Bombyx mori: one gene and its partners. The protein of the gene in region 7 binds, or shares a complex with, the protein of the main gene of each other region. Links are inferred from orthologs where the notes say so. Each region holds a gene or a part of one and is shown on either strand. Other genes may lie near its edges.

Evidence for each region.
Region 1: small nuclear ribonucleoprotein protein F (region 7) and armadillo repeat-containing protein 7 share a complex: the UniProt entries of both Homo sapiens proteins name them as parts of the minor spliceosome. The link is inferred for Bombyx mori from reciprocal best matches to the Homo sapiens genes SNRPF and ARMC7.
Region 2: small nuclear ribonucleoprotein protein F (region 7) and U4/U6 small nuclear ribonucleoprotein Prp4 share a complex: the UniProt entries of both Homo sapiens proteins name them as parts of the U4/U6-U5 tri-snRNP complex. The link is inferred for Bombyx mori from reciprocal best matches to the Homo sapiens genes SNRPF and PRPF4.
Region 3: small nuclear ribonucleoprotein protein F (region 7) and 116 kDa U5 small nuclear ribonucleoprotein component share a complex: the UniProt entries of both Homo sapiens proteins name them as parts of the minor spliceosome. The link is inferred for Bombyx mori from reciprocal best matches to the Homo sapiens genes SNRPF and EFTUD2.
Region 4: small nuclear ribonucleoprotein protein F (region 7) and U5 small nuclear ribonucleoprotein 200 kDa helicase share a complex: the UniProt entries of both Homo sapiens proteins name them as parts of the U4/U6-U5 tri-snRNP complex. The link is inferred for Bombyx mori from reciprocal best matches to the Homo sapiens genes SNRPF and SNRNP200.
Region 5: small nuclear ribonucleoprotein protein F (region 7) and splicing factor 3B subunit 5 share a complex: the UniProt entries of both Homo sapiens proteins name them as parts of the minor spliceosome. The link is inferred for Bombyx mori from reciprocal best matches to the Homo sapiens genes SNRPF and SF3B5.
Region 6: small nuclear ribonucleoprotein protein F (region 7) and protein CWC15 homolog share a complex: the UniProt entries of both Homo sapiens proteins name them as parts of the minor spliceosome. The link is inferred for Bombyx mori from reciprocal best matches to the Homo sapiens genes SNRPF and CWC15.

What each region holds. Positions count from the first base shown.
Region 1 is NC_085121.1:11,321,589-11,325,771, reverse strand, and holds the start of armadillo repeat-containing protein 7, read right to left. Parts: upstream 2,801-4,183; 5' UTR 2,648-2,800; coding exon 2,539-2,647; intron 1,996-2,538; coding exon 1,825-1,995; intron 398-1,824; coding exon 147-397; 3' UTR 1-146. UniProt on the Homo sapiens protein: As a component of the minor spliceosome, involved in the splicing of U12-type introns in pre-mRNAs.
Region 2 is NC_085130.1:18,534,308-18,536,634, forward strand, and holds part of U4/U6 small nuclear ribonucleoprotein Prp4, read right to left. Parts: intron 1,699-2,327; coding exon 1,557-1,698; coding exon of another isoform or gene 1,548-1,556; exon of another isoform or gene 1,522-1,547; intron 1,469-1,521; exon of another isoform or gene 1,404-1,468; intron 207-1,403; coding exon 137-206; intron 1-136. UniProt on the Homo sapiens protein: Plays a role in pre-mRNA splicing as component of the U4/U6-U5 tri-snRNP complex that is involved in spliceosome assembly, and as component of the precatalytic spliceosome (spliceosome B complex).
Region 3 is NC_085121.1:1,473,641-1,476,602, forward strand, and holds the end of 116 kDa U5 small nuclear ribonucleoprotein component, read right to left. Parts: intron 1,292-2,962; coding exon 1,099-1,291; intron 692-1,098; coding exon 538-691; 3' UTR 501-537; downstream 1-500. UniProt on the Homo sapiens protein: Required for pre-mRNA splicing as component of the spliceosome, including pre-catalytic, catalytic and post-catalytic spliceosomal complexes. Component of the U5 snRNP and the U4/U6-U5 tri-snRNP complex, a building block of the spliceosome.
Region 4 is NC_085130.1:11,233,514-11,237,013, reverse strand, and holds part of U5 small nuclear ribonucleoprotein 200 kDa helicase, read right to left. Parts: intron 3,016-3,500; coding exon 2,876-3,015; intron 726-2,875; coding exon 489-725; intron 147-488; coding exon 1-146. UniProt on the Homo sapiens protein: Catalyzes the ATP-dependent unwinding of U4/U6 RNA duplices, an essential step in the assembly of a catalytically active spliceosome. Plays a role in pre-mRNA splicing as a core component of precatalytic, catalytic and postcatalytic spliceosomal complexes.
Region 5 is NC_085126.1:5,965,730-5,968,297, forward strand, and holds splicing factor 3B subunit 5, read right to left. Parts: upstream 1,109-2,568; 5' UTR 949-1,108; intron 844-948; 5' UTR 838-843; coding exon 580-837; 3' UTR 501-579; downstream 1-500. Other genes in the region: uncharacterized protein LOC101736097, read left to right, coding at 2,548-2,568. UniProt on the Homo sapiens protein: Component of the 17S U2 SnRNP complex of the spliceosome, a large ribonucleoprotein complex that removes introns from transcribed pre-mRNAs.
Region 6 is NC_085110.1:8,228,614-8,232,277, forward strand, and holds the end of protein CWC15 homolog, read right to left. Parts: intron 3,471-3,664; coding exon 3,191-3,470; intron 2,975-3,190; coding exon 2,870-2,974; intron 850-2,869; coding exon 712-849; 3' UTR 501-711; downstream 1-500. UniProt on the Homo sapiens protein: Involved in pre-mRNA splicing as component of the spliceosome. Component of the PRP19-CDC5L complex that forms an integral part of the spliceosome and is required for activating pre-mRNA splicing.
Region 7 is NC_085117.1:15,790,630-15,794,017, reverse strand, and holds small nuclear ribonucleoprotein protein F, read right to left. Parts: upstream 1,894-3,388; 5' UTR 1,816-1,893; intron 1,734-1,815; 5' UTR 1,723-1,733; coding exon 1,548-1,722; intron 890-1,547; coding exon 798-889; 3' UTR 501-797; downstream 1-500. Other genes in the region: RAB6-interacting golgin, read left to right, coding at 3,279-3,357. UniProt on the Homo sapiens protein: Plays a role in pre-mRNA splicing as a core component of the spliceosomal U1, U2, U4 and U5 small nuclear ribonucleoproteins (snRNPs), the building blocks of the spliceosome.

The DNA of each region.
Region 1 (4,183 bases), on a different chromosome or scaffold from region 7:
ATTTTATCACCAGCTTTAAAAGCTGTGTTGCTGAAGGATGTGGTATGAATCTTGCATATTTTTTGATAATTTTTATTGTTCACAATAATATAGGGGAATCTATTCGAGAGCATCTTGTTCATTATGAAGTTCGTTTATGTAACTATTCAGGTGGTCTTACACACATTTTGTAGAAAAACTGTAGCTAAATTGACGATCCTCAAATCCTGCGTAGTTTTCAAATTTGACATCATATTTATAACGTCTTGATCAGTTATTTCAGTTTTTGTTTTCTCATTGTACATATATATCAATGTCGTTATTGTATCAGCTACAGTGTCTGTATCACTTGACTTCAATAATCGAAACAAAGGTTTTAATCCCAAGTGAGTTAAAATATAGTCTGCATTCAGTGGATCTGAAAAGTGATAATTCTTACATAAACATGTGAAATGTGAAATAGCAATATGATTTTATATAGTGTCAAATTTTTAAAGATGATTCTAGCGTTTTTCTAAATTTGGGATTTTACATTGCTTAGATGGGTGGACGAGCTCACAGCCCACCTGAAGTTAAGTGGTTGCCGGAGCTCATAGACATCTACAACGTAAATGCCACCACCCACCTTGTAATGAGTTCTAAGGTCTCAGTATAGTTACAATGGCTGCCTCACCCTTCAAACCGAAACGCATTACTGCTTCACGGCTGAAATAGGCAAGGTGGTAGTACCTACCCGTGCGGACTCACAATAGGTACCAGTAATTACGCAAATTATAATTTTGTGGGTTTCATTTTTATTAAGCGATGTTATTTCTTCACTGTGGAAGTCAATCGTCAACATTTGTTAAGTACGTATTTCATTAGAAAATTTGGTACCCGCCAGATACCCGCCAGATACCCGCCGGATTCGAACACCAATGCATCGCAAGATACGCATGCACCAAACGGAGTATCCTTTAGACCACAACGACTTCAAAATGTTTGATTCAAAATGACTGATAAATCTTTAGTATTACTAATTTCTTTTTTAGCAATAATTTATTTCGGGTCTATTGCTATTCTATTGCTAGTCTATTCCTGCGGGATCTTCCCGGGGATTGGATCCCGTCCTATTGTCAGGACGGGTACCGGCGACGGCGAGCCTGCGGCGCGCATTGTGCGGTACCGTAGGTTTCGTGGAGTCGGAGTAGTGGAGCTCGATGGGGTTTAGTCGGTAGTCGGGTCTATTGCTATTTTATTAATGCATTTGCTATTTTATTCTTTCTTAATGAAAATATTATTGAGAATCAGAATCAAATTTTTTTTACTTTTTAATTACTACTTTCCTTACTCTTCTAATTATTATCTTGAATACTGTCAGTAGTGTGGTGGCAGCATGTGTTGGTACTACTGTCAGATATAACATTAATAAACCATTTCAGTCTAATGGGCTTAAGACTTTCCAATATAATAAAGAGAGTTCCAATTTAATGGTATGTAGGGACAGTTACACAATATTGAGGGGAAAATGGCTATTTGGTATAAGCAGCATTGCACTTAAAACATTTACAAGAAAACGGTGCAAGCTCACTACATATTATTGGGCACTTTCAATTTTAATTTACTTTAAAATGCACTAAATCACATCTTATCAACACTCACAAATATTCAAATAGTTCAAGTATTTAATTAAATTTAAATAGAGCTACTTTGATAATCTTAAATAAATTATTGTACATAATAATATAAAGAATACTTTTATTGAACAGGTTCTTTCTTATAAGAGTTTTCATAAAAAAATTGACAGTTTAATTGAACTTATAATAATTTGAGAAAACTATTCATCTATTGTTATCAACAGCTTACCTAAACACAAATTGCAGACACCCGCAATGGCATACCTTATTAATCTACCAATAGTTTCATTCTTCAGCACATACAAGAATATATCTAGTACTCCAACGTCTCTAATGTATGAGTAGTTCACAGGATCATATGCAAAATTTGCCAAATTGGCTAAAACTTGCAACTTTGCTTCTGTAAGGAAAAATAACATTAACAAATTGCAGTGCCATGGAGAGAGCCGTGGAGAGACAGAGATAGAGAGAGATAGATTACTTTACTACACACCAAAACACAATCATCATTGTGTCACACAATCATCTCTTCTAAACAACCTTTTTTATCTAGAGAAATTGTGAAAAAGATCCAACAGGTATGTTATTAATTATTCAGAAACAGAGCAAACCTTCATGCACATTACTTAATAATGAAGAAAAAAAACTAATGTATGATACAATAAATATAAATATAAAATATAAATATTAAAATCACTATAATCATATCCCATAAGTCACATACACAATTTAATTTTATTAAAACGAAAAATACCATTATCCAAACGCAATAGGGCTAGCTGTACTGTGAGTACTCTTTAGCATTAAGGTCGCCCTTGTTTATGCAATAGTTTTCTAACTATCTAAGATTTTTAAAAGTAAAAACTTTAATGGCAATTGTGAAAGTTCATACGTAAATCGCATTAAAATTAATTAAATAGATATTGCATGTATATTTTATTACCATAGGAACTTGAGTGTAAATATTCGTCGACTAATAATGACAAATATGCCTCGCGATCAGTACCATCTTTTGGGGTACGTTTTTGTAAGTGTGCTCTTGAACTGAACATTAAATTATAGTAACTTAAAAGGCTATAGAAAAAATCCTACTTTGACTGGACCACTTTCATTAAAGTAAATACACATTCCTTATTTTTCCTTTGATTCAATAATTCAATTGACACGCCATGACAGTTTTCTCTGTTGTTTTTGACATTTGACAGGTGGCACAATGACATGCGGAAGGGAACATTTTATCTACCATGACATGGGGTAAATTGGGATCCTGGGGTAAATTGGGACAAACCTGCGGAAGATTCTCAAAGTACCTGTAGCACGGAATCTACCTAATTTTGTTTATGTTAATATTTGTCAATGTATAGAAGAAAAACCAAGTTAACTATAGAAGTACTAAATATGAGTTAAGTTGGTCCCAAAAATTCGTCAAATTAAATTGAAAATAGTGGTTGAAAAGTGCGTTTTAAAACAGCTTAAAGAACTTTTAAAAAAAGTAATATTATCGTTGTTTTTTCAATAAGATCACAGTTTATATAAGTTTTTAATACACCTGGAAATACCACAACAAACGGTAAGTTGCAATATTCTTATTTTAAATACAATATTTCGACAAAATAAAAAATGTATATTTTTTCTTTCCTTTTTGGGGAAAATTGGGACGTTTGTAGGGTAATTTGGAACGAGACTGGAAAAATTAGGGACGAGAAAACACAAAATTGGAACGCCAAAAGACAAAATAGGGATGGCTTGTTAGGGTTGTCACTGATATCTTATAATAGATTTTTTAGCCTATACTATCACTTAATTGCGTGATGTAAAGAAGGTTAATATGTTTATCAGTTAGTTTATGTAAGTATTATAGGTAAAAGAAAAGTATATATATAATTACTTTTTTTTCGCGACATTTACCTTGTAACATCTGCCCGGTCGTATGTTCTTTATAGCAATAAAAAAAAAAAAAAGTTAAAAGAACTCAAACGAATCAAAACTTTTGTTATTTCATAATCTATTCACGCGTCGAATCATGATTTTGTTAACATTCACAACGCACACACAAATAAAAACAGGCCTCAGATTTTAAATGTAACATTAATTAAAAATCCGAGATATCCAATTATGAGTGAGTGAATTAATTGAGTTTAGTTATTTCGCTTAGAAAGAATTTCTTTTATTTTTGTTATTATTGGCAGTAATCAGATAAAGCCGGTTTTTTATCTTATTCACCTGATATCTTACTCTTGCTCAAAGATTATTTTGAAAATGTTGATTAAATAAAATTGTATTATTGCATTTCCAGTCCTTTTGTTTTCTATTTTTTATTCTATTTTATGATTTTGTTTCAGAGTTGTGATTTTTAAGGAAATTAAATAATAATTTTCTAAAATATAACATGCACATACTTTTTTTGATCATTGTATTGTTGATTATCATTCACGTCACATCGCTTCAGAATAGAAACCAGCTTAATTTACACTATGTTGTGTATTGTGCTTAAATTATGGATTGTATTCATCATTTCGGTCCATATAAATAATTATATGGCACCTACCTATATATCGCAGTACTGCGAGTTGACAACCCTTACAAAT
Region 2 (2,327 bases), on a different chromosome or scaffold from region 7:
AATAGGGATCCTTACTAAAACTCCAATAATGTAACTCAATGTGTAAAATAATTACACAATTTAAAATCCTTCACCGCGGAAGTCAATCGCGGACATTTGACTGCGGTCAGGGGACCACAGCGAGCGCTATACTCACCGCTGACCAGATGCGCGTGAGCCGGGACCGTGTAGAGACACGAGCGCCTCCGGAGGTCCCAGATCTTGGTCTGCAACAAACACGAGACATCAGCTACGTCCGGCCAACCCGCGGTATCTCTTCATAACGTCACCACACATTAAAAGTGTACAATTTCCATAAATATTCATTTACTGGTGGTAGGACCTCATGTGAGTGCGCACGGGTAGGTACCACCACCCTGCCTATTTCTGCCGTGAAACAGTAATGCGTTTCGGTTTGAAGGGTGGGGCAGCCGTTGTAACTATACTGAGACCTTAGAACTTATCTCAAGGTGTGTGGCGCATTTACGTTGTGGATATCTATGGGCTCCAGTAACCGCTTAACACCAGGTGGGCTGTGAGCTCGTCCACCCATCTAAGCAATAAAAAAAAATGCGAAACCATTTGGTATCACCAGTATATTTTCTCATATATACTCTCAAAAGTACGTAGTTTAGTTTTAGTTTACCTATATTTTGAGTACTATTAACAAAATCAATACATAATTTTATCTTACTTCAAAAGACAGATAATGTAACTGGTAAAAACAAAAAAAATAAACGCTGCAAAGATGATTGATTAATATTAAAAATATCACATGTTGAACCTTTAAAACACTCTCCTGTAAAATTTAGTTAGTTTTGAGATTATACACGGTTTTAATGCGAGAAGACGAATTATTGTCCAATCTTAAAGTAGATTAATGTAGTAAACAACTTCACATCATTACAGATCCTCCCGGTCCATTAACGGTGCTTTTAGGTACCTCAAGCACCGGTCATCGTAAACTAACCCACAGACACAGCCCACTGAGTTTCTCTTACCGGATCTTCTCAGTGGCTCGCGATTCTGATCTGATCAGACCATCTGATGGTAGATTTAGCGAAGCACTGCTCTTGATAGGGCCAGTTTTAGCAACACTCCGGTTTGAGCCCATGAGCTCACCTACTAGTTAAGGTTAAGCTGAAATAACCTCTCAAGGCGTTTGACTCGTGATATTGTCAAGAGTCCTGTTTGTATACCACATTGATCCACTAGGCTTAGATAAAGTATAAATGGGATACGAAGCCTAGCCTCTCAAGGCTATCAGCATAGGTAGGACATATTAACATGATTAAATAGTGCCTTTGAATATTGTGAAAAGTTCTGTTTGTATACCACATTGATCCACTAGGTTTGGATAACGTTAACTTGTCCCGTGATAAGTTCGTCAAGAACTTGTATTGCAGACACCAGATAACGGAAATAAATGTAAGATTTTTATTATACACATACATAATATATTTAATATACATCCATAACCCTGGAAAACCTATTTACCATACCATCTTCCATTGGTAGTATAAAGTATAAATGGGGGGGGACGAAGCCCTAACGACTTGGGACAGTTGTCAAGTCACCTGGTGGTCTCCGGCGGCGGTGGCGAGGCAGTGTCCAGCCGGGGACCAGTCCGTCCCCAGCACGGGACCCAGGTGACCCTCCAGGAACATCACGCAGCGACCCGTGCGGAGGTCCCACACTCGACCGAAAGCGTCCATGCCGCTGTGGAACCACAACCCCCACTTACAAACTAATGAAGTCGTCGTGTCCTAACGGATAAGACGTCCGGTGCGTTCGTGTTGAGCGATGCACCGGTGTTCGAATCCCGCAGGCGGGTACCAATTTTTCTAATGAAATACGTACTCAACAAACGTTCACGATTGACTTCCACGGTGAAGGAATAATATCGTGTAATAATAATCAAACCCGCAATATTATAATTTGCGTAATTACTGGTGGTAGGACCTCTTGTGAGTCCGCGTGGGTGGGTACCACCGCCCTGCCTATTTCTGCCGTGAAGCAGTAATGCGTTTCGGTTTGAAGGGTGGTGCAGCCGTTGTAACTGTACTGGGCCCTTAGAACTTATATCTCAAGGTGGGTGGCGCATTTGCGTTGTAGATGTCTATGGGCTCCAGTAACCACTTAACAACAGGCGGGCTGTGAGCTCGTCCACCCATCTATGCATATTTTTGTTGTCAATGCACTGTCAATTGCACCTATCTATAATTGAGGTGACATCTGCTATGTACTTTTGTCAGTTTGTCAATGTTTTGTATTGATGATCACTTTTGTTGTTGCAACTAAATAAATAAAAACTGTCAATCTGTCAATTGAAGCTACAGTGTACCAAA
Region 3 (2,962 bases), on a different chromosome or scaffold from region 7:
ACTGCCGATTCTGAACTATGTTTCTACTGTTAGGCACCTACCGATAAATTTGATAAACGTGAACATGACAAAATAGTAAAACAATTTGAATAATGAATACATTTTTTTTTACTAATTTAGATTAGCCGAGAAACTTATGGCTTAACTACCTAACATTAGTATGTTGTTGGATTTATTTTGTGAGTAGTATAATCGCTAGGATAAATCGTTAAAATGCGACAAATATTAACATGTCACCTCTGCCGGCTTTAACGTTTGGCAATTTTATAAAGTACCGCGCACTCCCTCTAGGTTTAATGGATTTAATAAAAAATATATAGAATGAATAGTATAACGCCAAAAGTTTCACATACAACTGCAAATGTTTTTTAGTTTTGATTTATAATAATTAATCTATGTATTACATACTATAATAATATGTTTTCACTACATATATATTATGTTATTGTTCAGTAATTTTATCAAAACTTTGCACGTAAAATGAAAAACAAATACCAAAATAATTGTTTGGTAAATTTTATTAAATCAGAAATATAATTAATGAAGTTGTACGTCTTGTCTTGCCAGCTCCAACAACATAGGATCGTCGAAAAACTTATTGATGGACACGTCCTCACTGAGCCCCTTGCGTCGACGGGTCTTGATCATGAACTCTCTGGCTAAATGCGTCGCTGGCTGTGGTTCCAATGGCCTAAATAAATAAAAAATGAATTAAATATGATTTTATCATTCACTGCTGATACAGATTCGTTTATAATAAATATCATTATCTTCGTCAATACACTGACCCGGCAGACTTCGTAGTGCCTCAATCGATAAATAAAAGACCTAAGCTTTTGTATAAAATAAACTTAAAATAAACAAAACGAATCCGTCCGACGGGGGACACATGAAAAAGAAAACATTTTTTTTATTTATATTTAATTCCGAGCATTTATTATTTATCTACCTTTTAAACCTTCTCTGGGCTTCCACAAATAATTCAAGACCAAAATTAGCCAAATCGGTCCAGCCGTTCTCGAGTTTTAGCGAGACTAACGAACAGGAATTCATTTTTATAAATTAGATAGATAAAACAATCCAAACTAGACAACTCACCTGATAACAATACTCTTGTCGAGCGGGTCGCCGGGCACGATCTGCCAGTGATGGAAGACCTGCAGACAGAAGGCCTGGCCCTGCGTGTGCGTGCGCAGGTCGGTCTCGAAGCCGAACGAGTCTATGGCCGGGACGAACGCTTTGATGGTGTAGAGCGGCGACCCGGGGACCGGAGCGTCCTGGGTCACGTGACCTGCGCGACGAGCCACAGACTCAGTCGGTTTTTTCTACCTAAGCTGATAGTCTTGTGAGACCATATCAGCGTCACCGGGCGAGTGGGTGAGCTCACGGGGCTCAAACCTGACGTTGTTGCTAACACGATCCCTAACAAGAGCTGTGCTTCGTAGAATCAACCACCGGATCGGAAACGCGACCCACTAAGAAGATCCGGCGAGAAACTCAGTGGGCTGTGTCTGTGGGTTAATTTACTCGCCGAGCCCTTCGTCGCAAGCGACGGGTTCGACGAAAACCCCGATGACCGGCTCAGTCGGTGGAATCAACAGCACTATATATTACAACATGTATATAATGTGGGACGGTAGAGTGAAATCTAGTGGACTTTCATACCAAAATTTTTTATTTTCCAAAAAAAAACCCTCCTTACCTCGTCATGTCATTCGATGACTGTAATTTTCATTATTCTTATTTTAAAATAATTCTAATGTGTCAGTGTGAACCTGATCAAAAAAAATACCGATCTTCCTACATATACATAATATGTATGTATATATTTAAAGGAAAAACCGCATTTGCGCTAAGGTCGCCGCACTGTGCGGGCACAATTGCGGATACGTGCGCAGTGAGTAGGAGTGGGTAATATCGGTTTTGCCGCGTATCGAATCGTATCTATATATCGAGGATCAATATCGGATATTGAATCTATATATTTTCTGAATCTATATATTGATGGATGCTGGTAGATTTTCTCGATTCATGATATTTGAGATTTGAAACGATACGCCGATATAATATCGTAGTATTTAAGTCAACGTTATACGGTTGGTTTTCTGATATCAATTTATAATATGATCTTAAAGTAATAAAAAGAACATGAAAATAAAAATATCAAAAAAACTTTCCTTCATGCTTTTACCAGGCTTAGGACTGGCTACATTATTTTCAGTTTTTAGTATTTTGTGTCTTAATTTAAAATTACAAAATATACCAAAAGAGTGTAGATTTCAAAAGTTTAATACAAACACAAGAAATAAACTCAATTATTTGGATTTAACTAAAAATAGAAAAATGTGTACTTTAAAAATCAAACACAAAAAACTTTGAAGTATTTATAAACACTTGTCCAAAAATTCTAGTTCAAGGTCAAAGCGCGTGAAATTAAATTCAACGATGCAAATAGGCTATACTGCATTCAAGTTAGGGTCGAAAGTTGAAACTTCTTTCCTTAATTGTATCCTGCTGATACGCTTAGAATAATCTACAGACATATGGACTTAAATATAAGGTTTACAATTGTATGGATAATGCCTGTTTCTGTTTCATTCATCACATGATATCGCTATCGTGCGCTCACTCACTCTGGCCGATTCGATACGAACCAAACGAATATTGCTGATATTAACGAATCGGTACGATATGCCGATGCGCATCACATCGAGCAATATCGTGTATCGGCTGATATCGAAATATAGATTTCGATTCACGAATCGGTCCGATATGGCGATGCGCATCACATCGAGCAATATCGTGTATCGGCTGATATCGATATATAGATTTCGTGCGGGGCGATATCGGATTCAACGATATTGCTGCGATATATAGATATTGAATCTATATACGATTTATATCACCCACTCCTAGCAGTGAGCAACCTGGTTGTAATCAGAATTATAACAATCTTGTTGCC
Region 4 (3,500 bases), on a different chromosome or scaffold from region 7:
GCGGCGAAGCTCCAGGCCAGCTCGGCGGCGACCACGCACAGCTGCGCGGCGCCGCACTCTACCAGCTGCTGCACCACGCGCCGGTCGCCGGCGGACACGCCCGCGTGCAGGTACGCCACGCCCGCGGACAGCGTCTCCTTCAGCATCTGGACGTGCGAGATCACACTTATAGTATGTTTATGTGCTAGCTGTGTATAGAATATTTTAAAGTATAGGGAGGTCGTTGACCTCGTGTATCAGCTGTTAGCAAAACAACAGAGTGAGAGAGTTTTAACAGAGTGAATAGGTCTCAAAAAGATTTGAAACTATCAAAAATATTTTTGGCAGTAGTCTTGATGGATTACGAGATATTTATCAGTAGCCGTAGGTAGGACATCTTGTGAGTCTGCACTGATAGGTACCACCGCCCTGCCTATTTCTGCCGTGAAGTTGTAACACGTTTCGGTTTGTAAGGTGCGGGGGGCCTGTAGTACAGTAGGTGCAGAGACCTTGTCCTGCACGGCGTCGAGGAAGGGCGCGAGCAGGTCGCGCGAGGCGTGCAGGAAGGCGGCGGGGGCTGCGCGCGCGGCCGCCAGCGCCAGCAGGTCGGCGGCGAGCAGGCGGGCGGCGCGGCGCGAGCTCACGAACACTGCGCAGGGGCGGGTGCCCGCGTGCCGCCGGATCGCGTTGTAGATGGGCTTCGTCATGGCCGTCAGCCGGGTCGGCGCGTGCGATATGTTGAAGCCCTGTAACATTAGTTCTCGTGAGCTTACTTTTGAAGTAATTGACCGAATCGGCGGTGCAGTAATTAGCGCCTCCGACTGTTGCACCGAGGGTCGTGGGTTCGTTTCCCGCATCAGGAAAATATTTAAGTGGCGAAATTGTTCGTTCGCTCTTTGTTTGGGAGTTTATTATCTATACCTTATCTTATAACTTTAAACGAGCAATTCTTGTATATAAATATATGTATATATAAATATATGTATATATATATAATCTAAATCTCGGAAACGGCTCCAACGATTTTCATACAATTTAATATACAAGGGATTTCGGGGGCGATAAATCGATCCAACTACGATTTATTTTCAGAAAATGTTGTTTTATTCGTGTTTTCAATAATCAACTTTATCGATAATTTTGATTTTTTCTTTAAATAACCAGTTCATATTTTTTTATTATACGGTAAGATCGAAAAATATAATTCATATGTCATCATTTTATCAAGATGTAATTGGTATTGAAACATAATTTCTAAAAAAACAAGATTTATAAAAAAAAAATTTGCTCGGTATTTAACTAGTATGTATATATTTATAAACGTTTAAAGGACATATGTAAAGAAAAACCTTTATTTATTTAAAACTTTAGTTTTTAAAAAAGATTTTCTTCGGTGTCATTCAATGTCATTGAGTAAAAACACGAGTTCAGGTTTGTATATTTTATTAATAATGTTTACTGTTTAATTATTAATGTTAACTTTAAAAGAGATTAAGGACTTTAAATATTGTTTTATTATTATATAAAGGAAAAAGCAATTAAGTATTTTATTGCTTATTCATTCTGAATTACTCCATATCATTATAATGTCAGTATATATCAGTCTCCATGTCTTATAGTAAAAAGAATCCTGATTTGGAGACGAATAAATTTATGTGACTTGTTCCCAGTAGGCGTTAATTCATTCTTGATTCTTTTTACCATTAGTTGAGTGAATTAATATCTCACTACATATATTGGACCTCACCCCTAATGCATTTTTTTTCCTACTTAAGCTGATAGCCTTGAGAGGCTATTTCAGCGTAACCTTAACTAGTAGGTGAGCTCACGGGGCTCAAACTGCAGTGATACTAACACTGGCCCTAGCAAGAGCAGTGCTTCGCAGAATCTACCACCGGATCGGAAACGCGACCCACTGAGAAGATCCGACGAGAAACTCAGTGGGTCTGTGGGTTAATTCGGGAGGATTAGGAATTAAGGAGGACGGTGACCGGTGCTTGTGGTACCTAAAAGCACCATTCATGGATCGGGAGGATCCCTAATGACATGTTTAGGACGACGTCGACTGTTTACCATTCGGTCTACAGGATCGGGTATGTAGTTTCCAGCGGCCACGACAAGAGGGTTCTCATGTCGTGCCGCCTTCTCAAAGTGGCACAATGATGCCGACCGTAGATACTTACTGACCGAGTCAAGTTCCAGGTAGCGGTAGGCAGCGGCTTGGCTTTGCCCCTGGCATTGCTGAAGTCCATGGGCGACGGTAACCACTCACCATGAGGTGGGCCGTATGCTCGTCTGCCTACAAAGGCAATAAAAAAAAAAGTTCCAGGTCATCATGGAGATCCCTAACGCTGTGTTCCCTAATGTTTCCTATAATTTCCTATCCTATAATATTTTGAAGTCGTCGTGGCCTAAAGGATAAGACGTCCGGTGCATTCGTATGTAGCGATGCACCGGTGTTCGAATCCCGCATGCGGGTACCAATTTTTCTAATGAAATACGTACTCAACAAATGTTCACGATTGACTTCCACGGTGAAGGAATAACATCGTGTAATAAAAATCGAACCCGCAAAGTTGTAATTTGCGTAATCACTGGTGGTAGGACCTTATGTGAGTCCGCACGGGTAGGTACCACCACCCCGCCTATTTCTGCCATGAAGCAGTAATGCGTTTCGGTTTGAAGGGTGGGGCAGCCGTTGTAACTATACTGAGACCTTAGAACTTATATCTCGAGGTGGGTGGCGCATTTATGTTGTAGATGTCTATGGGCTCCAGTAACCACTTAACACCAGGTGGGCTGTGAGCTCGTCCATCCATCTAAGCAATAAAAAAAAAAAAAATATATATATATATATATATATATATATATATATAATAATTTATTAGTGAATTACCTGGATGTGCAACTCTAGTGGGAGGGATCTGACGCTAGGGTGGAAATTGAAGGTGGCATTCGCGTTGCAGCCGAGCCACTGGGCAACGTCGCGGGCGTCGGCCAGCGGTAGCGACAGGGCCACTATACGGATCGGCTTCCCTGGGAACAGACATGCACATTGTTACGTCGGTTAGAGTAACGCCATCTGTCGTCGAATATCAAAAGAACTAGTAAAATCAGAGCGTTCGAGAATTGCAACGCCATCTATTATCGAATAGCGGAAAAACATAACGAAATGACTCGCCCTATCGGGAACGTTCTCGATAATTGTAGAGTTGTCGCGTCGACTGTAAAAGCGTTGCAGATATGACATGAAGACAGTCAGTAATCGGTTCTACTCGAAGCGAAACAACGAACGGATCATCTGAAGCGAAGTGAGAATTTTAAAGTGTTTAATAGAGTGTTAATTTGTACTTCGGTGCAAGTTTTATTTATCCCGAAGCCCAGCGCGTAACAATATGTTACCGTTTATATATATATATATATGTGTGTGTATAAAAAAAAACCTTTATCATTTAAAATCTTTAAAATTGTTCAGTTTTTAAAAAAATATTTTTCTTGCACCGAATCACTTATAAGTCTGT
Region 5 (2,568 bases), on a different chromosome or scaffold from region 7:
AGTTTATTACTTATCTATACATAAAACGCACCAAAACTTTGTGGAGTTATTCGTGAAACTTTGAAAATGTCGCAAAGAAAAAGAAAACAAATTAATATTGAAGAAAAATCACGTATTTTGTAAATATATTTTTCCAATAATTCCCTATCGATTTGTTTGTACTTGCACGATACACATTAAACATTACCGGTTGTTACGACTATCGGTTTTTACGACTGAATATGAGCAGTCCCTTCGATGTCGTTATAACAGATTTTGACTGTATATATATAAGGCTAAATGGAAATCAAAACTGATTTCTTTGAGATAAAACAATATGAAACAAGTTTGTATATAAAAATAAGATTGTCAAACATTTGACCATTGAACCAATTCTAAACTATAAACTATACCTGTTATTAAAATTTGTAGTTTTTATTGATAATAGTTGAGTTTTTGGTGGTACTATTTGAATAGACTAATTGTGTTTGTTAAAGGTTATAGAAATGAAAACAAACTGCTCGAATTTATGTCATGATAAGGGATTCAAAGTCAAATAATAAGTAAATTAGCTTAATTCTATTTTTAAAATCGAAGCGTTTAATCTTCAGGCTTTTCTGGCGGTGGGCCGCATGGTTGAAGCATTCGTTCCATCAAATTGAATTTTACGCGCGCTTTAGATTCATTTTCTACGATCGCAAAGTAACTCAACAAATCCGGATGACCCATGTAACTGCAGCAAGAGTCGCGATGTTGGTTCATAAGCCATTCATATTTTGTAGTGTCGGCGTGGCCTGTGCCTATATATTTGCTCTGTAGATGTTCAAGTTGACTGTGAATGTTGTATCTTTCACCCATTTTATTCTGTAAATTATTTTAAGGTTATAGTTCGAGTTAGTAATGTCATTAATGTAAAATTAAATGGTTATAAAATAAATAAAACGTTTCTAATAAAATATACACACTTACTTTAAAGGCAAGATGCTTGTTGAAATCGTATAGACTCTAAAGTTTATATTCTAATTCAGCTAATATTGATATCACGTAGCAGCCCAAAACAAAGAGTATTCATAGACAATACATAAATTGCAGTGCAGATTACTGCAGACACGGCGTATCTAAACCATAGATACAATACTTAACGTTGAAATCTAAACACCAAAGGTTGTGCACAGTTTTTTTTATTATTTCTTTCACTGCATCTTTCACAGTAAGTTCTTAGATCTGTTTACATATCATCTGGTTTTGAAATAAGCTTTCATCTTTTAACGAAGCTTGGGAAGAGCCCCGGCAGTGGAATTAGTCTTAGTCTATGCTTCTGACGTTGACGTTCATCAGAGACGATCGCCACTTATTATTAAGTGGGACAGATACTCGTTTGCCGATAATGCTGACCAAAACAGTTGAGTACAGCTGTGTTGTCACATTTTCCTATACTTGTGGACTTTTAGAGATACTAAACGGTTACAATTTTTCATTAATAGCACGTTTCAACAAACAAAAAAACAGTAAGTTAACAAAATTAACTATTAACTACACTTCTACAGCTCACGCAACAAAGTTATTAAAGCAAAGAGGTTAATAAAAGATAAAATAAAAAGTAAAAAAAGGTAAAGGAAGGATAGAAGTCGTCGTGGTCTAACGGATAGGACGTCCAGTGCATTCGTGTTGAGCGATGCACCGGTGTTCGAATCTCAGGAGGGTACCAATTTTTCTAATGAAATACATACTAAACAAATGTTCACGATTGACTTCCACGGTGAAGGAATAACATCGTGTAATAAAAATGAACCCCGCAAAATTATATTTTGCGTAATTACTGGTGGCAGGACCTCTTGTGAGTCCGCGCGGGTGGGGACCACCACCCTGCCTATTTCTGCCGTGAAGCAGTAATGCGTTTCGGTTTGAAGGGTGGGGCAGCCGTTGTAACTAAACTTGAGACCTTAGAACTTACTATATCTCAAGGTGGGTGGCGCATTTACGTTGTGGATGTCTATGGGCTCCAGTAACCACTTAACACCAGGTGGGCTGTGAGCTCGTCCACCCACCAAAGCAATAAAAAAAAACCCGTGAGATATACATAATTACAACCACGCTAGATCAGCTGCATCTATCATGGAATCTTAAGCTCATCATCATCATCATCATCATCATCAACAGCCCACAGTCGTCCACTGCTGGACATAAGCCTCTCCCAATCCACACCACTGAGCCCGGTCTGCGGTTCTCCTCATCCACTTATCTTAAGCTCACAGGTATTTTAATTAAGTGTATTTTCTATGCTCACAGTTACATATCAACTTAGAGTACTTACAAAGTACACTCTAGGGTACGTTGATATCGTCGTATTTCTAAACTCTTTGGTATGTTGTTATGTTGATTAATTGATCAATTTAAAACCAGTTGCCATAGAAAATACACTACCGTGTTTATTCAATATTTTTGATAAACTTAATAACCAGAAGCCAGTCATTACTGAGAGAGTTGTTTTTATCAAGATATACATTTCGTAATTCTGTTCGCCTTTAAATATTCTCTATTCAGAATTATTGTTATTTCTGACAAGTTATGAGCAAATTACCGAAAGAA
Region 6 (3,664 bases), on a different chromosome or scaffold from region 7:
GCTGTGGACCTGCCCACTCAAGGTAGGCCGCCGCCGCCTGCTCCGCACTTACCACTGCCTCCCCTCTCACGCCTCACTCACAACGCCGCAATAATAAAAACATTCAACTTCGCCGGACACGTCAGTCTGGTCAGTCCGAACTCCGAATGTTAATAAGTTAATTTAATAATTATTTATTACTACCATTAACAATGCAGTTATGTACTTTAACGGGTGGCGTATTGATTATCAAATCGGGGCAGTAAGTTTGAATTTTTTGTAAATTAATCTCTTTAATACCTTCCCTAATTTAGTTTGGATACCCCAACTACCAAGATTTTTACCACTGAAACTCAGAAGTTGAGTCTCAAATTTCGAACCCGAAAGCAATGTTCGTTGTTATATGAGTAAATTAGACACATTATGCTAATGAACTGACCTCTATCTGTTGTTGAGGAAACAAACATTACTTTTTATCAGTAACGTGACATTAACTTGAAAATAAACTTTATAAAATACTATTTGTTTTCATATAATTTATTCAAAACAACAAAATGACATTTTTTTCATAATATTTACTAAAATTATATTGGTTTTCGTCAATCTTTTCTTTACGTGTTTGTAATATCCATAGTAGCATTTCCACTTCGTTATCACTATTCCGCTTACAATAAGGTATAGAATCGCTTTTAACAACTTTAAATTTAGAATTACAATATCAATAATGATTTACTATTTCACGTACTTTTCCATAAATTTCTTATGGAACTCTGATCTTAATGAGTCATTTATAAAAGTATTAGGTTTCTTTTCCGGTTCAGAACGAGCGCAATTTTTGAAAACAACGTCATCATCCCATCTTCTTTTTACCTGGAACAACCCAAAAAAAATATAGATATAATATTACGATTGTCCTTTTTTTTTATTTGCATAAATGGGTGTACGAGCTCACAGCCCACCTGGTGTTAAGTTGTTATTGCAGCCCATAGACATCTACGACGTAAATGCGCCACCCACCTTGAGATATAAGTTCTCAGGTCTCAAGTATAGTTACAACGGCTGCCCCGCCCTTCAAACCGGAATGCATTACTGCTTCACGGCAGAAATAGGCTAGGGGATGGTACCTACCCGCGCGTACTCACAAGAGATCCTACCACAAGTCGTTACGCAAATTAAAATTTGCAGGTTTGATTTTTATTACACGATGTTATTCCTTCACCGTGGAAGTCAATCGAGAATATTTATTGAGTACGTATTTCATTAGAAAAATTGGTACCCGCCTGGGATTCGAACACCGGTGCATCGCTCAACATGAATGCACCGAATGAGTTATCCTTTAGGCCACGACGACTTCTTAAATTCTTCTTAATCGACCCTCATAGATGAAGGTTGTGACTCTCATAACTCAGTCAGTCTCTCTCTAATGATATCATGTAGAGGCCTAATGACGAGTTGTGCTGAGTGGTGCCTCTGGGCGTTCCAATACCGGATTCATCCAATGCTTGAGCAGATTATGTTAATGTTCTTAAAATCACTTTCAATTACTTTTGCATTTTTGTATGGTATTTATTAGTGGGTGTACAAAATCACAGTCCCTGTGGTGTCAAAACAGCAACCAGTGTTTATAGAACCGAAAATGTAAAATAATGAATCAACCAAAGTCTAAATGAAATTATTTAATAGTCTTGAATCCTCAATATCTGCCGCTACATATGCATAATGAAAGGAAAAATAATTTTTTTGTGCATTATTAAAGTATTCCCTGTGGAGTATCAATGATATTGATTCAAATACAAGTAAACCGAAAACAATAGCAACAATACGTTTTAATAGTTATTTTTATAGCATAGATAGGTGAACAAACTTATGGCCAACCTGGTATAAAAGGGTTATCTGGTAGTTGTCAGTATACTTCACCAATGAGATATCAAAACAGATACTGATTGAATATTATTTGCACATGTTTCAATACACATCATATTATTATCATATGGCAAGGATATCTAAAATACCAATACACAACAAAAGCTCTGAATAATTATAATCTAAGTGAGACCCAAGTTTATAACCACTTAACACCAAAAAGACAATGCTAGACATACTTGGAAGAATGAAAAATAATATCTTGAAACAGATTTGAAAAGTACCATAGTGTACCAGAACAGAAACATACAACACATACATAAACATACAAACACATAAATATGCCATAAAAAAAGTAAAACACAGATAGTATTGTTACTATGGAATAACAAAATAACAAAAACAAAACACCAGCAAAACAACAAATGCCAATTAAAAGATGCATTTAAATTATTTATCAAGATAATCCTGGTCAATGTGTAATTTAATAATGTAGTATCATGAAACTGACTAGCCAGAATGAAGAACTTGTACTACAACAAATGAATACCTACCCACTGCAGAAACTAAAGGTCATCTACACTTTTTTTATTCCTTTGATGGGTGAATTAAGTTCATGGCCCATAGAAATCGACATCTTAAATGTTGTCACCCACTATGAGACATGAGTTCTAAATATCAGATTTTATACCAAACGAAAACACATTACTACCCCATTCTACTGCCATTCATTAAGCAAATTATAATTTTGGTGGGTTCGATCTTTATTAAACACTATTTGTTCATGATGGAAATCATTTGTCAATTTACGTTAAGTATATATTTCATTACCATTGGTACCTGTCTGCAGGATGAGAGCACCGGCACAGTCACATAGCTTTATACAAATGCACCGGGAGTCTTTATCTTTTAGGGCACAATTACTTCAACATTGATAAATACAACATCAATGACATCTGCAGTTCAGTTCAATCACCAAACAGTTATCAGGAGTTAAAACAAAATTCATTTTAATGTTTTTAATTACCTTCATGTCATTCTTCTGTCCTGCAGCGGAGTAGTTGAGTAAAGGATTACCCGATAATATGTTCTCCATTCTAATTCTTTCCTCTTCTTGTTTCTTTTCAGCTTCCTATAAGGTAAAACAAAATTGATTTGTGCAACAAGGTTTATTTGTTATTTGAATTTTATTTAGTTTGGGTATCAAAATACACTAAAGTACACTAAAGTTAGACAAATTAAAAAAAATATATATTGTAAAATTTAATTTAAACATACTTTGTGTACATCAGTACAAAAATAGTCTTATAGTATAGTATCTAACTCTAGTATCTAAGATATATCTTACTTTTTTAGCTTGTTCAATGGCCCTTTCCTTCTTAATTCTGTTTAATTCTGCTAGCAATGCAGCAGTATCATCATCTGAATCATCAGAGTCAGTGGAATCGCCTTCAAGAGGATCATCAGCATCAAGACTTGCTGCAGGAACTTGATCAACCTTAGTTCTTTTTGCTTGTGGTTCACTTGTACGTTTTGTAGTCGTAGTTTTAACATCTTTTTCTCTATCATCCAACTCCTTACGAAAATCACGAGAGCGTAATTCCTCAGATGTCCCTTGACCTGATTCCCTATTAAAATAGATTTTAATATTTGACTTTTTCTTTACATTTTGGTGCATTACAAACGTGGTATTTATGCTTTGAACGAGTTATACATTGTGGTTTTGAAGGGTAGCGTATTTTCTAAAACAATAATTCAAGTACTCTACCTTGTCTCAAGATGGCTTTTTATGAGGTCCGTTAAGCACTTACCACCACGCGGG
Region 7 (3,388 bases):
TGAGTGATGATTTATGTAGTGGGCTATGGCAACTACTTAATACCAAGTAGGCAGTCAGCTTTTTTCTTCATCCAGAGCAATACAAAGTGTGCAGCAATTCGCAAAATGTAGAAGTGTAACCTGTAGGAGTTTTCTATCTCGTTCTCTCACAGACTAGATACTATAAAATAATATGCATCTCTTTTTAGTCACTTCTAGAGCTTTAACTATATTAAAATAAGGTTGTATTATTTACTTTTTAGTTTCAAATCATAACCAGAATGAGAACCAAAGTTTTTTTAAATGAAAATTGTTTTTGCGAATGAGGTTGTGTTTTTAAACGAATTTGGAATCTAATACCCAAAGGCCAAAAAAGAGCAAGAAGGAATGGGGTAAAATACATTGAAGATCATTAGATTTCAATATATTTCCCTGTTTTCACATGCTCATTTTTTGCAAGGACAATATAAATCGCAAACCTTTTCTTGTAAAGTTAGTGTTGAGAAAATAAAACAAGGTTATGGTGAAAATTTACTTATAATTAATTATACAAGTTATGGAATTCATGCTGAAGAGGTTGTTTCAGACATAGTTATTAAAAAAAAAAAAGTATTAAAGTTGTTTCATTTAAACATTGTATACAACAATAGTTCCAATTAACATTTTTCTCCTCAATCATTAGTATTTCGGGATATATACCTAAGGTAATTTTACTGCTAACAGAGTAATATGAAATTTCTATTTTTTTGCTTAAAATTTCCCTTTTGCCTGTTATTCTTAAGATAATTCCTTATTCTAACTTATGTAATAATTACTAATTATTCTTTCATTTCTCCTTCTTCATCTTCTTCATCAGCTCCTCTTACATACAAGACATTATTGCATCTTATTAAAACTTCACCTAAATTACCTGGAAATAAAACCCAATACTTAAATTAATAGGGTTCTTAATTTAGTGTTTTGTATGTATGGACTAACAGAACTAACTGAACTAGTATTCAAAACAAACGCCGTTAAAGCTTTACAGAACTCTGCTGATATGACTTCATTAAGTTTGATGTAGCATGGACTGAATTACAATAAAAAAGATTCTTAAAAAAAAATATAAAAAAAAATATTTAAATGTTAAGATTTGATTTCTAAATTTTATTTACTAATTTAAATTAATTAAATTCACAAAACTATTCACAACCAAAAAGTTTGGTTTGGAATCTTGTAAGTGTCAAGTTGTCTCTTGTTATGAAATTTATTGATTTTGTGCATTCTTTGTAGCAAGTACTTTTTTTTTCTTTAAAAGGGCAAATGAACCCCATGACATTTAGTGTTAAGTGGCTTCTAGAATTTATAAGTTTATTACAATATGAATATTAAATCTACTCTTCAAAGCAGAATGCTTGAAAGCTTTGAAGTCGAAATGGGTGCAGAATAGTGTACTCATAATAGACCAAACAAACAATGAACGTCTCATTTTTAATTCAATTTTGGTCCAGGTCCACTACCAGTAGATCTTAATCTCTTGCTTTAATATGTTTTCGTGATTACTTAAAGTTGTTCACTTAAATACTAACCTGTACAAGTTCCATCGACAAGTTCTTCAGTATTAGCAAGTTGCAAATTCATGTAGCCATCTGTTGATACTAACAAACCTTTGTATTCATGACCCCATTTTAATTTAACTAGCACGGATTTACCCGTTAGACTATTAAGAAATGGTTTGGGATTTATTGGCATAGCAGCCGCCATTTTTGCAGGTTCTAAAAAGTAAATTGGATGTTAATTCATTTTCAAACCACCTTTATTGTTTTCATTGCTTATTTAAGAAACATCAGTACTTACTTTAATATCGGCTAACAAGAAATACAAAATATAACCTCAAAATGTATCGGCTTCGCTTCGAGTTCGACGCTAATTTCTACTCATAGATATTTTTTTATTTTTTATTTATGAAAGCATTGAATTTGCAACACGGCCATCAGCTACTCATAGATAATACACCACCATAGATAAAACACAGGTAGTTTAAAATTTATTATAATTAGTTCTTTCTAGGACTTTTCGGCGGGAACGCGAGGAGTGGTTTGTTTTATTTTGTCTAATTAGTCTTTCTTCAGGTTTAAATGTGTAATAACGGTGGCTTATTAACTGCTTAACTGTAACTGTGAAAGTGCACAAATGTGGGAAAACGAAACAAAGCCACTGAACGTAAGTTCTCGAGATCTTCCAAAAAGTCCACTGAAAAAGTCTCAGTAAATGATCACCATTTTACTGAGATTATACTTCATCCCATATCATCTCATCTCATTTCATTTCATTTCGTTTTCATTTCACTTCATGCCATGTTTCATATTATTCAACTTCATTTCATTTCTATAATTTTCATATAAAAAAGTTACGTAACATAAAATTAAAATAAGACTTGACCTAAAAGTTTTAGTTAGTCCAGGTCATAAAATCCCTTTAAAAAAATGTAGTAAAAAATTAATAATAGTATGTATTTCATCTTATTATTATTGAAGCCCAGTTGAAAAAAAAACTACAGAAAATGGTAATTATTTTCTTTAATTTATATAAACATAAAGTCCTGAGAAGTCAGGTCCAGTGATTTTGTTATATTTCCACAATCTTTTACACTTTCAAATATGTTTAACTAATAGAGAAGGGCTTGTAGCGACTAAAACGACACACCTAAGCTGAAAGTTCTCAACGTATTTGGAGGAATTCGCTATTGATAAAATGTGAAGAGAAGAAAAAATATGTGAAAAGCTTCCATAAAACTATATATTAGCAATAAAAACATTTAGATAAGTTTGTTTAATTAAAGATGGTATGAACGATCTTTGGCCTAACTAAAAACCATCAAATAATTGAAAGTAGAGTCGGTTTTTTTATAAAACTATTTTGGGAATAGAAAACGAGAACTTCAACATTGTGTGTTGAAGTGCTTATGCTGAGAGTAGAGCTATAACACCAAACCATTTTAAAGACAAAATGTACATATTGTTAAAATAAATGTTAAATGGATTCGAATAATTAAATGGGCGAAACACTATTTCAATGGGTTTTTGGCTTAAAAGACCAGAATTCAATCTAACGTGATTAAAAAAGTTCCAATAACGTCAAATAGTCAATGTCAAAGTAGTGTTGCAGAATAGTAAAAATTTGATGTGAATCAGTGTTGAATCAATGAAAATATAGATTTTTACGTTTACGATCTATCTATGAGTTTTGCAATTTTTTACATTAATGCACCTTATATGAAAAACATAACCCTGACATATCTATGTAAAAACAAATAAAACATGTCACAATTTACAGGTTTTAGTGAAGATGACTTGGAAAGAATTAAATCTGGCGAAACTGCCGATGAGAGTAAAAACAGTACGTATGGAGCTTGAAATATACTTTTTTT